3 linked regions of the Canis lupus familiaris genome follow. The protein of the gene in region 2 purifies or fractionates together with the protein of the main gene of each other region. This does not show direct contact. Links are inferred from orthologs where the notes say so. Each region holds a gene or a part of one and is shown on either strand. Other genes may lie near its edges.

The links.
Region 1: the proteins of BOD1L1 (region 2) and CXXC1 purify together in Homo sapiens (affinity purification with mass spectrometry; 5 studies listed by BioGRID and IntAct, counting the BioPlex papers as one, with this or other methods). This does not show direct contact. The link is inferred for Canis lupus familiaris from reciprocal best matches to the Homo sapiens genes BOD1L1 and CXXC1.
Region 3: the proteins of BOD1L1 (region 2) and SETD1A purify together in Homo sapiens (affinity purification with mass spectrometry; 3 studies listed by BioGRID and IntAct, with this or other methods). This does not show direct contact. The link is inferred for Canis lupus familiaris from reciprocal best matches to the Homo sapiens genes BOD1L1 and SETD1A.

What each region holds. Positions count from the first base shown.
Region 1 is NC_049228.1:78,687,235-78,690,829, reverse strand, and holds the end of CXXC1 (CXXC-type zinc finger protein 1), read right to left. Parts: intron 3,533-3,595; coding exon 3,287-3,532; intron 3,120-3,286; coding exon 3,012-3,119; intron 2,836-3,011; coding exon 2,651-2,835; intron 2,380-2,650; coding exon 2,172-2,379; intron 2,093-2,171; coding exon 1,982-2,092; intron 1,855-1,981; coding exon 1,805-1,854; intron 1,662-1,804; coding exon 1,565-1,661; intron 1,286-1,564; coding exon 1,133-1,285; intron 1,049-1,132; coding exon 902-1,048; 3' UTR 606-901; downstream 1-605. UniProt on the Homo sapiens protein: Transcriptional activator that exhibits a unique DNA binding specificity for CpG unmethylated motifs with a preference for CpGG.
Region 2 is NC_049224.1:67,061,933-67,065,589, reverse strand, and holds the end of BOD1L1 (biorientation of chromosomes in cell division protein 1-like 1), read right to left. Parts: intron 1,881-3,657; coding exon 1,763-1,880; 3' UTR 596-1,762; downstream 1-595. UniProt on the Homo sapiens protein: Component of the fork protection machinery required to protect stalled/damaged replication forks from uncontrolled DNA2-dependent resection.
Region 3 is NC_049227.1:17,386,172-17,389,553, forward strand, and holds the end of SETD1A (histone-lysine N-methyltransferase SETD1A), read right to left. Parts: intron 3,273-3,382; coding exon 3,153-3,272; intron 1,560-3,152; coding exon 1,422-1,559; intron 1,323-1,421; coding exon 1,149-1,322; 3' UTR 565-1,148; downstream 1-564. UniProt on the Homo sapiens protein: Histone methyltransferase that catalyzes methyl group transfer from S-adenosyl-L-methionine to the epsilon-amino group of 'Lys-4' of histone H3 (H3K4) via a non-processive mechanism.

The sequences.
Region 1 (3,595 bases), on a different chromosome or scaffold from region 2:
TGTGTCCCGTCCTCTCCGCCCCGCGAGCAGTTGCAGGAGCGCGCGGGGAGGAGCGCACCGCAAGCCGACCCCAGCTCCCTCCCTCCGCGAGAACGGGCGAAGGGGGCGGTGCCGCGCTGCAGGTAAACAGAAGGGCCGTGCCACCGAGAAGGGCGTGCGCGCCCTAGAGAGGCTGCGCTGTGGGCCCCGCTGGGCCCCGCGACCGGGCGGAGGGGGCTCTCGGACTTCTGTTACACACGTGCCCGGAAAGGGGTTTGTGGGGCAACGAGAGACCTTGTGGCCGTCAGCGAATACGTGTCTAATCTGGAGGATGTCGATGCTGACACGGGGGTGTCACGGGGGAAATCAGCCACATAATGAAATAGCGCCAACTGTATACCCGTTGTTTCAAGATGAAATGCTGAGGATGTACGTCATTGGGCTCTCCCTTAGTAAGTCATAGTCCGCTGCCCAAGGGAGCTCCTGCAGAGCAGAGGGTGGTTGCCAACTGCATACTCGAAGCTCTATACTGCAACTCCTCCTGAATACAGGTGTGCCTCAGCCCTTTCACCCAGGGGGTTTGGGAGTGCAGATGCAGCTGGATAAAGTGGAAACCAGTAGTAATCTCTGTTGGTTCTTCAAAATTTTATTAACAAAACCAGGGAGAGGTGAGGCAACAGTGAGCAAACTCCACAGTCCCACCCAGGCACAGAGAATGGAGAGACAGAGGGACAGACAAGGACAGAAGAAAATCCTGAGACCCTCTGATAACGGCATCTGGGTAGTCAAATGGTGGATGGGCACAGGGAGAAACTCAGGGACCATTGGAGAAACAGATGAATGGCAGAACAGACAAACGGGGAATTCGGGGCAGCTCCCGGGCCTGGAATGCAGGGCGTGAGGACTTCTGGGCCAGTGAGGCTCAGCGGTCAGCACTGGAGCGCAGGTCGGTAGTGAGCGGGTCATGCTGGATCGTTTGGTGCAGCATCAGGGCCAGTAATCCTGCCCGGTTAGTCATGGCTGTGCGAACGTTGCGTTCCTGCTCAAACAGCTCATCCAGCTTGTACCACTGAGAGGGGAGTAGAAAAGAGCCATGAGAAGGAGCTCCGGAAGCTCCACCTGAACTCCAGCCTCATTTAGCATGGACACCTACCACGCGCACACGCTCCAGGTCCACTTCAGCACGCCGCAACTTCTCCCAGCAGTAATGGCGGTTACACTGGCGTTTGGGCAGGCGGCAGAAGTCACCCGTGAGCTCAAAGACATCACGTACAAGAGGGCACCCACATACCTCATCAGCTGGCACCTGCAAGGAAATCGGGGGTCAGGGATGAATGGGGGTGGAGGAAGGTAGGAAGGAATGAAGAGAGTTCAGGGAGTACAGAGGAATGGAAAAGGAGAAACGAGATGATGAGAGGAAAAAGGAGAGGAACGAGGAGTGATAAGGCAAGCAAAGTGAGAGTTACGGAAGGGGTCAAGTAGGGAAAAGGAAGGAAGGAGGAGAGGGGAGGACACAAGGGAGGAGGAAGGGAGGCAGGGAGGAGGAAGAAAGGACAGAATGGGAGGAACTGAGAGCAAACCTTACTTTGGGGTCCCGGGAGTGCTCGGGGCACAGCACCTGGAGCCGTTTACAGTATGTCTTGCTCTGAGGGTTGTAGACATCACAGAAGAGTCGTGTAGCTCTGGAGGTTTAGAAGATAGAAGGTAGTGGGGAGAAAGGCGGGGGACCCATCTGTTCTTGCCCAGGCCCATTCTGCCCCAACATGCCACTTCTGACCCCAGCCTTAACCTCCCTGCTCTAACTCCACGTAGCGCCCACACTCACCCCTCAATGCGTGTGGGGTACATGGACCCAAAGGACGTCTGGCTCTCATACTAGAGGGATGAGCACAAACGGAGGGCACTGTGGATGTGTGCTGCATGCCCTCCCGAGACAACCCCCAGATAACCCATCTGTTCCCCCACGACCCAATGACAGTCCCCCTCAGGGTGACACCCTGACCTTGGCATAGCAGCGCTCCATGTGGCGCAAGGCAACACGTGGGTTGATAGGGTGCCCGCAGGAGACGCAGAAGATCTGCAGGTCCGTGTCATCACTGTCACCCTCATTGCTCTGTGTGGAGTGGAAGGAACAATGAAGCCAGGCAGGACCGGGTACTGGGTCCAGGGCCGCTGGGCCTGTGCTCACTCACCTCCTCATCCTCACGGACAGCCTGCTGCTTGGCACGAAGAATGATGGCCTCAAGTTCATGGAATCGGCGCTCCATCTCCTGAAGGCGGGTACGGGCACTCTGCTGCTCACGGCGAATACGTTCGAGCAGCTTCTTCCCGTGCTCCTCAGCAATGCAGGGACTCTGCTGCCACTGCTGGATGCGCTGGGGGAGGATCTCGTAGATGCGGCTGCAGGGAGGCAGGGGGTTAGGTGCAGGCAGGGAAAGTGGCAAGGAACAAGACAAGTGGGGTGATCCAAGAACGGCAGAAGAGATGGGTGACCAAACGGCCAAAGAATAAGTAAGTGACTGGATGGTAGACAAGCAGATGAGGGACAGATAGACGGGTGCACCACGGACTGAGCAGCAGGCAGGTAGCTGATGAGAAGACACACAGAAGGCTCTAGCCATGCCCTGCCCTGTACTCCCTGACTCCCTTGTGCTCTCCAGGAATGACTTACTTGGCTGCCAGCTTCATGCCACAGTCATCTGAGCAATACTTGGAGCCGGGCTGGGCAGGGCGCACACAGCCAGGTCCCAGGCACTGCGGTAGTGATGCAGGATCCTTAGCGTCGGCGCGCTCTGGGTGTTTCCATTTGTCCTTGTGCTTCTGTTTCTGCCGATGCCGCTTATATCTCTCTTCCTTCTAAGGGACGAAGCAGTCAGGTCAGGTTAGGGTGGAGTTAAAGTCAGCCCCAGTTCCCTGTGTCCCGCTGCCCCCACCACCACTTCTGGCTCTTGCCCCACCCAGCTCCTGATCTTTGCCTCTCCCTACCTTCCCTGCCCTCTGCCTTCTCACACCCATTTCACCCTCTCCATCACCTTCTTCTCGGATTTCTTCTCCCGACGCTTTACGTGCTTCACTTTCACTGCTCTCTTCCGTAGGGCAGGGTCCAGGAATGGAGACTCCTCTGTGTCGCTCATCCAGGGCTGCAAGTGAGGCACATGCTGACCCACCTGCCCGCCCATGACCACCCCACCCACTCAGTTCCCAGATCAGCCTTCCATACTCCGCCTTATCTTCCAGCTCTCCTCACCACGGAAACTCCGCTTCTGTGACCTCCACCCTTCCACCATGGAACGCTCTGGCTGCTCACCAGGCCATGGTCATCAAAGGCCCCTGCACAGAAGTCCTGGTACAGGTCAGGATCCAGTGGTAGGTCCTCATCTGAGAGTGGCTCAGGTGTAGCCGTAGCCTCCGGTGGCTCCTTGACTGCTGATGATGCCACTGCCCCCTCGTCCTCACGGATGCGCCCCAGCTTCTGTGATGGCTGTGGCTGCTGCTGGGTGGGCAGTGGCCTGCGAGGCCGTGGCAGGGACTCTGAGGGCGTCACTGGCGAGAGCTGCAGGGCAGAATCTCAGGACTGGCCCTGACCGCCCTGCCCGCATGCCCCGCCCCGCCCTGG
Region 2 (3,657 bases):
GAGTTCCTGCCAGAAAATTCCATATTCCAGTACCAATCTTTAGTTCCAACTTTATTAAGAGGCAGCAATGCCTCACAACCCAACTATTTAGTCCCTGTGAGGTCATGCCCACAGCGGGCGTGACTAGACTGAATACACTGGTTTCCCATGGAGAACACATTTTCAGGTGTGCATTTTGGTAAACCAATCTACAACTCACAATGCAGACTGTTGTTGGTCAAGGACTTTAGAGCTTTGGAACCTACTCTGGCTTCTTCCCTTGACTAACTTTAGGGAAAATCACTTTAGCTTTCCCGGTTTTGGTTAAATTCATCTTGTTCCTTGTCTCCGAGGTCCTTTCCAGATCCAACATTCAATTCTACTGAGACACCATCACTGACTCATATTTGAAAGTGAAAATGGAACAGCATTTCTAACACCAAGTATTTGGAGAGAGGAAGTAGTTTTCACAGAGAGAAAACTTAAAATACAGAAAAAAAATTCTTACCACTCAAGTTTTGGAAACATTTTATAATTTATATATAAAATCTTGTAAGAAACCATGTAAAATGACAGAAATATCCACCTTACATTAAGAGTCAAAAAAAAATTCACACACACTGAATGTAAATTTTAATTATAAAACAATATGAACAAAACATTTTAAAATAATCTCAATTATTTGGCAACTCATCACATCATTGCTAGAGACAAATTTGATCTTAAGAAAAATTTAATCTTATGAAAAACTTAAGTTGGACAGTTTGTTCGTATGGGAGTTAAAATATGTTTAAAAAAGAAATCCGGCAATAAAGCCAGTTTCTATCATGAAATAATTGTGTATAAAACAACATAAAGTCTTGAAGCTCAGTAGACAGGAGTGACCTAATCTCAATGCATTTCTCTTCACTGAAAAGGACAACATGGAAAGAGAACGAGTAGAGGCCTCGGAACAGCACAGAGGGAGGGATGAACACCGACAGAGGCGTTTTTGCTGCAGGTGACAGGATGTAACTTTACCTGAACCAGAACCTCTCACGCCAGTGGGGCTGGAAGTAAAGTCACAGATGCGAGCATAATCTAAAATCAAGTTACATTCTTAAAAAAGTCACAACTGTGAACAGGGAAGCAATGCAGACCCTTTCTTGAGCTAAACTACTTCACTTGGATACATGCGAGAAGATCCTGTATTTCCTGCCAGACCATAGAGAGTTACAAGGCAGGCAGCATCCTAAAACGTTTCTACTAATGACTGCATAGCATTTAAAACCCTTTTTTTATTAAAAAAAAAATAATAAAATAAAATAAACAGATATATAGTAAAGTTCACAGATAAGTTTTCTCTGTAAAATAAATAAAGTGTTCATTGATTAGCATCATACATAGAGTAAAATACAACCTATTTTTACATGTTTATATACTGTACACAGATTACCAGTAGGCAGCCTGGTGTCTGATAGGCTGGAAGGGTTTGCATTAGTGATGTGTCACATCGGGAAATCCCAATTTCAGATGTTAAAATATACAACTACTTTGTTTTGAGTTCAGATACAAAGTAAACTTATTTTCCTTTATCTGAAATAAATGTACATAATATCTTCTATGAACAATAGTTTATAAAGCTGTTTAAAACAGAACAAGAAAAAGCTTGCACCTAGGAACTTACAGCACATGCATGTCCTTTCCCTGGTTAAAAAAAAAAAAGCTTCTGGCCCCAGGCTTATTCTCTCCTCTCGCCTGTGTCTCCAACACGCCAGGGGCATGGTGGTGGTGGTGGCCAGGATTACCGCTTGGCCTTCTTCGAAGGGGCTTCTTCCACCCTCTGCTGGCCTCTAGTCCGGGCTCCGGGGGGGCTGGCTTCCCTCTTGCGCTTGCTGGAAGGGGAGAGCTGGGCCTTCGATCTGCAGTAAACAAAAGTCAAGGCAGTGGTGAGAGCTGACAGGAGTGGCTTCCATAATTTGGGAGTTCTTTAAAAAAGGGAAGAATTTTGAACTTGAGAGCTGAGAGAAAACCCAGGTCATGTTTATATAGGAAGAGGAGACTCTAGAAGAGCAGTGCTAACTGGTTATGTGCAACCAGCCCCACATCCACAGGGCACAACAGGAAGAGCTTGGAGACCCGCACTCTGGTTCTGGCCCGGTCACACTCCCAGGGCCAGCCTGGCTCAAATCTGCCTTCTTCTCTGGGTCCTAGTTCTTCGAGCTAGAAAACAGTTAACAGGGCAGCCCAGATGGCTCAGCGGTTTAGTGCTGCCTTCAGCTCAGGGTGTGATCGTGGAGACCAGGGATCGAGTCCCACGTCGGGCTCCCTGCATGGAGCCTGCTTCTCCCTCTGTGTCTCTGCCTCTCTCTCTCTTTGTGTGTCTCTAATGAATAAATAAAATCTTTATCAAAAACAAAACAAAACAAAACAAAACAATTAACAGCCAGTCCTTCACGCACTGCCCCAAGTCGAGGCTACTGAGAAGGAGCACAGCAGGATGGGGGACTCCATCTGGGCGGGTGCCCAATCCCATCTCATTGGCCAATACAACTGAGGAGAGGCAGCAGTGTTAAAAAGGCAGGGGAACTTCAGAGGAGCATTCTGGCCAATCACCCTGCCCCTAGCCCATCCCCGTTCTCCCATCTGCCAGCAGAATTATCTGTCAGAAATCCCAATGAATCATGTCACTGTCCTGTTTATCTGTTACACATATATTCCTCGTAACTCTCTGATGCTTTCAGGATAAAGTCATCCCAAGATTTCACAAAGTCCTTTATAATTTGCCCTGACTTCTGCACCACGCTGGATTGGTCCTGCCAATCCCGAACACATGACATTCTTTCACATTTTTATGCTTTGACATGGGAGTTTTTGGAGAATCACCCCACACCTCCCACCTAGCAAACACCCTTGTCTTTAAGCTCCAGTTCAAAAGCAACTCCTCCTTATGGGAAACCTTCCTCATCATGGAGCAAGCCACTCTCTGGAAATCCCATGGCACTTTGTGTCTCCACCACAGCACTTACCACTGTGATTTACCTGTTGATTTTTTCCAACTGTAGGCTACAGTCATTATTTTAAAACAATTCTCAAAGAGACCACAATAGTAAATACCATTGGTATGACTTCTATTAAATTTGGTTTATGAGAATTATGTTGCAGTGACAGCGGCAGCATGTGAGCACTGGATGTACTCCAAGATATAGTTTTAGCCAGGTGGTGCCAAAAAAGCTTCCAAGTCATGTACACATGTCTCCCCTGCTAGAATGCTTCTCCTCTTCCTCTCCCTAGTACCTAGCACCAAGGCACACGTCGCCAAGCTGCCATGGTTCTATCTATGAAGGAAAAGACCTGGAAAATCAAAATTGCAGGAGATGGTCCGATGGGGCTGCATGGATAAGATGTTTTGCTTGTCTTGCTTATTGTTCCTTTGAGAGCACAAGTAAATAAACCCAAACCAGGTCACACACTCTTGTACAGGACACAGTTCCAGCATATACACCTGTGCGGAGAATGGCCAAAAAGCAGTGCTTGTTGATCTCCCATTTTAGGCCGAGTCAGGGAAAGCCACTGGCCGCTGGGTGAGAACCTACCAACTGAGCAGTTGGCATGCCAGCCCTGTGCTAGATGCCACGTAGCAGGGACAGCGGCTTTGAGTCAGAGTGCTTCTTCCCGGCCGTGTGAGCCCCCTCCTGC
Region 3 (3,382 bases), on a different chromosome or scaffold from region 2:
CGGAGCCCCAGCGGTCGGCCAACACACCGTCCCCTTCCGCTTGCTCCTCCTCCCTCCTGGCCCATTCCAGGAACAGACACCAGCCCAGCCTCCACCCCTCCGTCCCCTGAGCTCTTGCCATAGGGCGCCCCCTGGCGGCCACTCTGCGCTCCGCGGGCGTCTGCTTCCGGCAAAGAACTTGGGGAATACGGCCCGGGGAAGCCAGAACACGCTGGGTGGGCAGAGGATGGGACAGGTGGGATGACCTCACTCCCACCTCATGACGTCAATCCTTCCCCTTTGCTGGATTTCCCAAGATACCAGAAGCCCAGCAGCGGCTGTGGTTCTGGGAAGGGAAGGGAGGCTGACCTTGGCCCAGCTCTGGCTGACCTTGGTGGGGGATTTCTGGATGACTATTCCAGACTAATAGGTGACCCAGAGCAATGGTGGTTGAGTCTGCAGGTCTACCCACCCAACCTGCAGGCCACCCATTTCCCCTTCTCTTCACTTGCAACCAATCCTCTGTCCTGAACCCCCAACCCCCCGCCACCCACCTACTCTTCCCCAAAGATACTGACCAAGCACTTTTGTACAATAAAGTTTAATCACAATTATAAAAATGTGGCGTTGGGTTTGCGCTATTAACATATGTACAATCCAGCCCAATAGGAAGGGCCCACCCCCCATCATCCTGGTCTGGCAGAGCAGAAGCTTCCAGGAACCAGGGTGGGAGGGTGACCCACAGGGTCTGGCAGGAACAGAAGATGAGGCAGGGTTCCAGGCACGGAGTCCCTAGGACTGGGGGCACAGGGCACCCCCCCCAGGGGGAGAACATGGCCGCTGCCCCTAGAGACCCCTGAACTGGGGAGGGGTGCACGCAGGGCACAAAGGGGAAGTCCCCATTAACACAAAGCAAGGGGGCTATGCAGCCCCCCAAGAACAGGATCTGTACAGGCCGGCACCCCAGGTTTCCACAGGAAACAGCTGCTGGCAGCTACAAAACATTTACAGCTTCTTCTCCGCAAAGAAAAAAAAGTTAGGAGGTGGGTGGGCAGGGGCGACAGGGGAGGCAGGAGTTACCTCCGGGGACTGAGGCTCCCTCACTGGGCTTAGGGCTCCCCAGACCCCAGGGAAATAAATAGAGGCGCGGGCGCCGGTCCCGCCCCACCTCAGTTGAGGGAGCCCCGGCAGCTCTCGGTGCCGCACAGACACGGGATCTTGTTGTCCTCCAGAGGGAACTTGTAGTCGTACGTGATCTCCTCGTCCACACCAATCGGCTGCTTGGAGTAAATCACGATCTTCTTCTGGGACTCGATGGTGATCACCTTGGCATAGCAGTTGGGCTGTAGGAGGGGAGGGCCATGTGAGCTTACGCCCTTGGTCCTGGAGTCTCCGCCCCACCCTGAGCACCTCCCACCCCGTTCCCCCACCCCCCTGCGCACCGTGCAGCAGTGGTTGATGAACCGCGCCAGGTTGCCGCACTTGGTAGCGTCGATGATGGTGTCATGGTCTACCCGGAACAGGTAGCTGCTGCCAATACCCTCCTGCACGTAGCGCTTCTCCCGCATGTCAGCCACCATCTGGTAGGACGGGGTGCCGTCCCAGTCAGCTTCCTGCCAGACTGGGCCTGACCCCACCAGCCCCAGTGAAGGGGACCCGCTTGGCCTTCCAGCTACCACCCTGGGGTGGGTGGCACATTGACCTGTCTTGGTGAGCAGCTCCTCCTCTGGCTCCCACCCACCCAAGGAGTCAACCACCTGCTTCCAAGGGCCCCCTCCTCAAGGTTCCCCCCACACCGACACCTTTGGCTGCCACTTTAAGTCTCCCAAAGGGGATCTCAGGAAAATGTGCCGGGCTCAGTGGGCTTGAGCAGCAGCCACTGGCTCCTCCTGGAGCCTCTGCCTGGCCCATGGTGGAGCCCCCAGCCTCCTGTGAAGCCATGCTGGTTCCTGATGTGACATGGTCATTTTGGGGCCCGAACCCTATTCGTCTCTTCTCCCAGGACCCTCTGTCCAAGACAGGCACCCCCAGGCTGCCACTTGATGCCCTCAAGGTCCACATTCTTGTGTGAGGAGGAGTGATTCCTATTTCCCAGAACATGGCATGATAAACCCTCTGTGCTCTCTCCTTGGGGTGATCTCATTCTCTTCCAGGGCTTCAACTGCCAGATAAGTGGTGGGGCCTCCTCCCAAACTTCCATCTCCAGCCAAAATCCACCTCAATGGAGCTGCTAGGCGTCAATTTCTAGATGTCCCTGGGGCCCTGCAGCTTTACAGGCCCTGACTGGAACTCCTCTCCACCACACAGCTGCTTCTCCTCCTCACCCCCCTCACCAGCAGCCCAAGAAATGGCCTCCCCTCTTTCCCTCCCCTACTCTCTAGAGCCAACTTGCTGCTCAGTGCTGCCAGCTGCCTTGGACCCACAGACTCCTGTTACCTTGGCTGCCACTGCCTAGTCTGGGTCCCCTGGGCCTCTGCTGGGATCTCTGTGACCGCACCCCCACTTGTCCCCGCCTCTGGCTGTCCCTTCACACTGCAGCCAGAGGGAGCCTACTGACTGCAAAGCCTGTCACTGCTGGGCACTTGGCCATGGCTTCCCTCCCCTTATCACTGGCCCCAGCTCAACAACACAGCTTCTAAGCACCTAAGGTCCACGAAGTGTGGCCTCCACCTGCCTCTCTTGGTGGCCACCAGTCCTGGTTTTTCCATCTTGCCATCCTGACTTCCTTGCCCTACTGAGACTATCCTGCCTCCAGACCTCTGCACATGCTGTCCAGTGGCTGGGAGCACCCTTCCCCTCCTCTGAGTTGGGGAGTCATCATCCTTCAGCTCCCGGCTTACACGTCATTGTGCCCCACCACCTGTGCCTCCCCAAGCTTCCTCTTCCCCATCAACCAGACATCATCCTTTGGTGCAGTTCTTTATGCAGTGGCTCTTCCCCCACTGAACTATGAGACCCTCATAGCCAGAGAGAATATTGGCCCTTCCTCCTTGCTGGATTGTCACCACCTAGTTTACAAGGACCCATCACTAACTGTCGAAGGAAACACAGGCAGGTTTCACCAACTATGTCTTGGAACTGCGAGGTTATGTGGACCTTTATCCAGAGATGAGGTGTTTCTCATGCCAGCTGCTATGCTGCCATCTTACTGGGAGCCAGGTACAGGGCCTTACCTGGCGGATGTTCTGACCCACGTATTCGATGACCATCTCGTCAGCTGCAATGGGCTCCATGGCAAACAGACCCCACTCGTGGATCCGGCTGCGACCAAAGCGGAGTTTCTTCTTCCGGAACTAGAGGGCAGAATGCAGGCTGTGCTGCTGGGCGCCTCCCTCAACCTAACTCCTTGCCTTTGCTGCAGTCCTCCAAGGGGAGAAGTGTGCTTCGGCCACTCACCTCCATG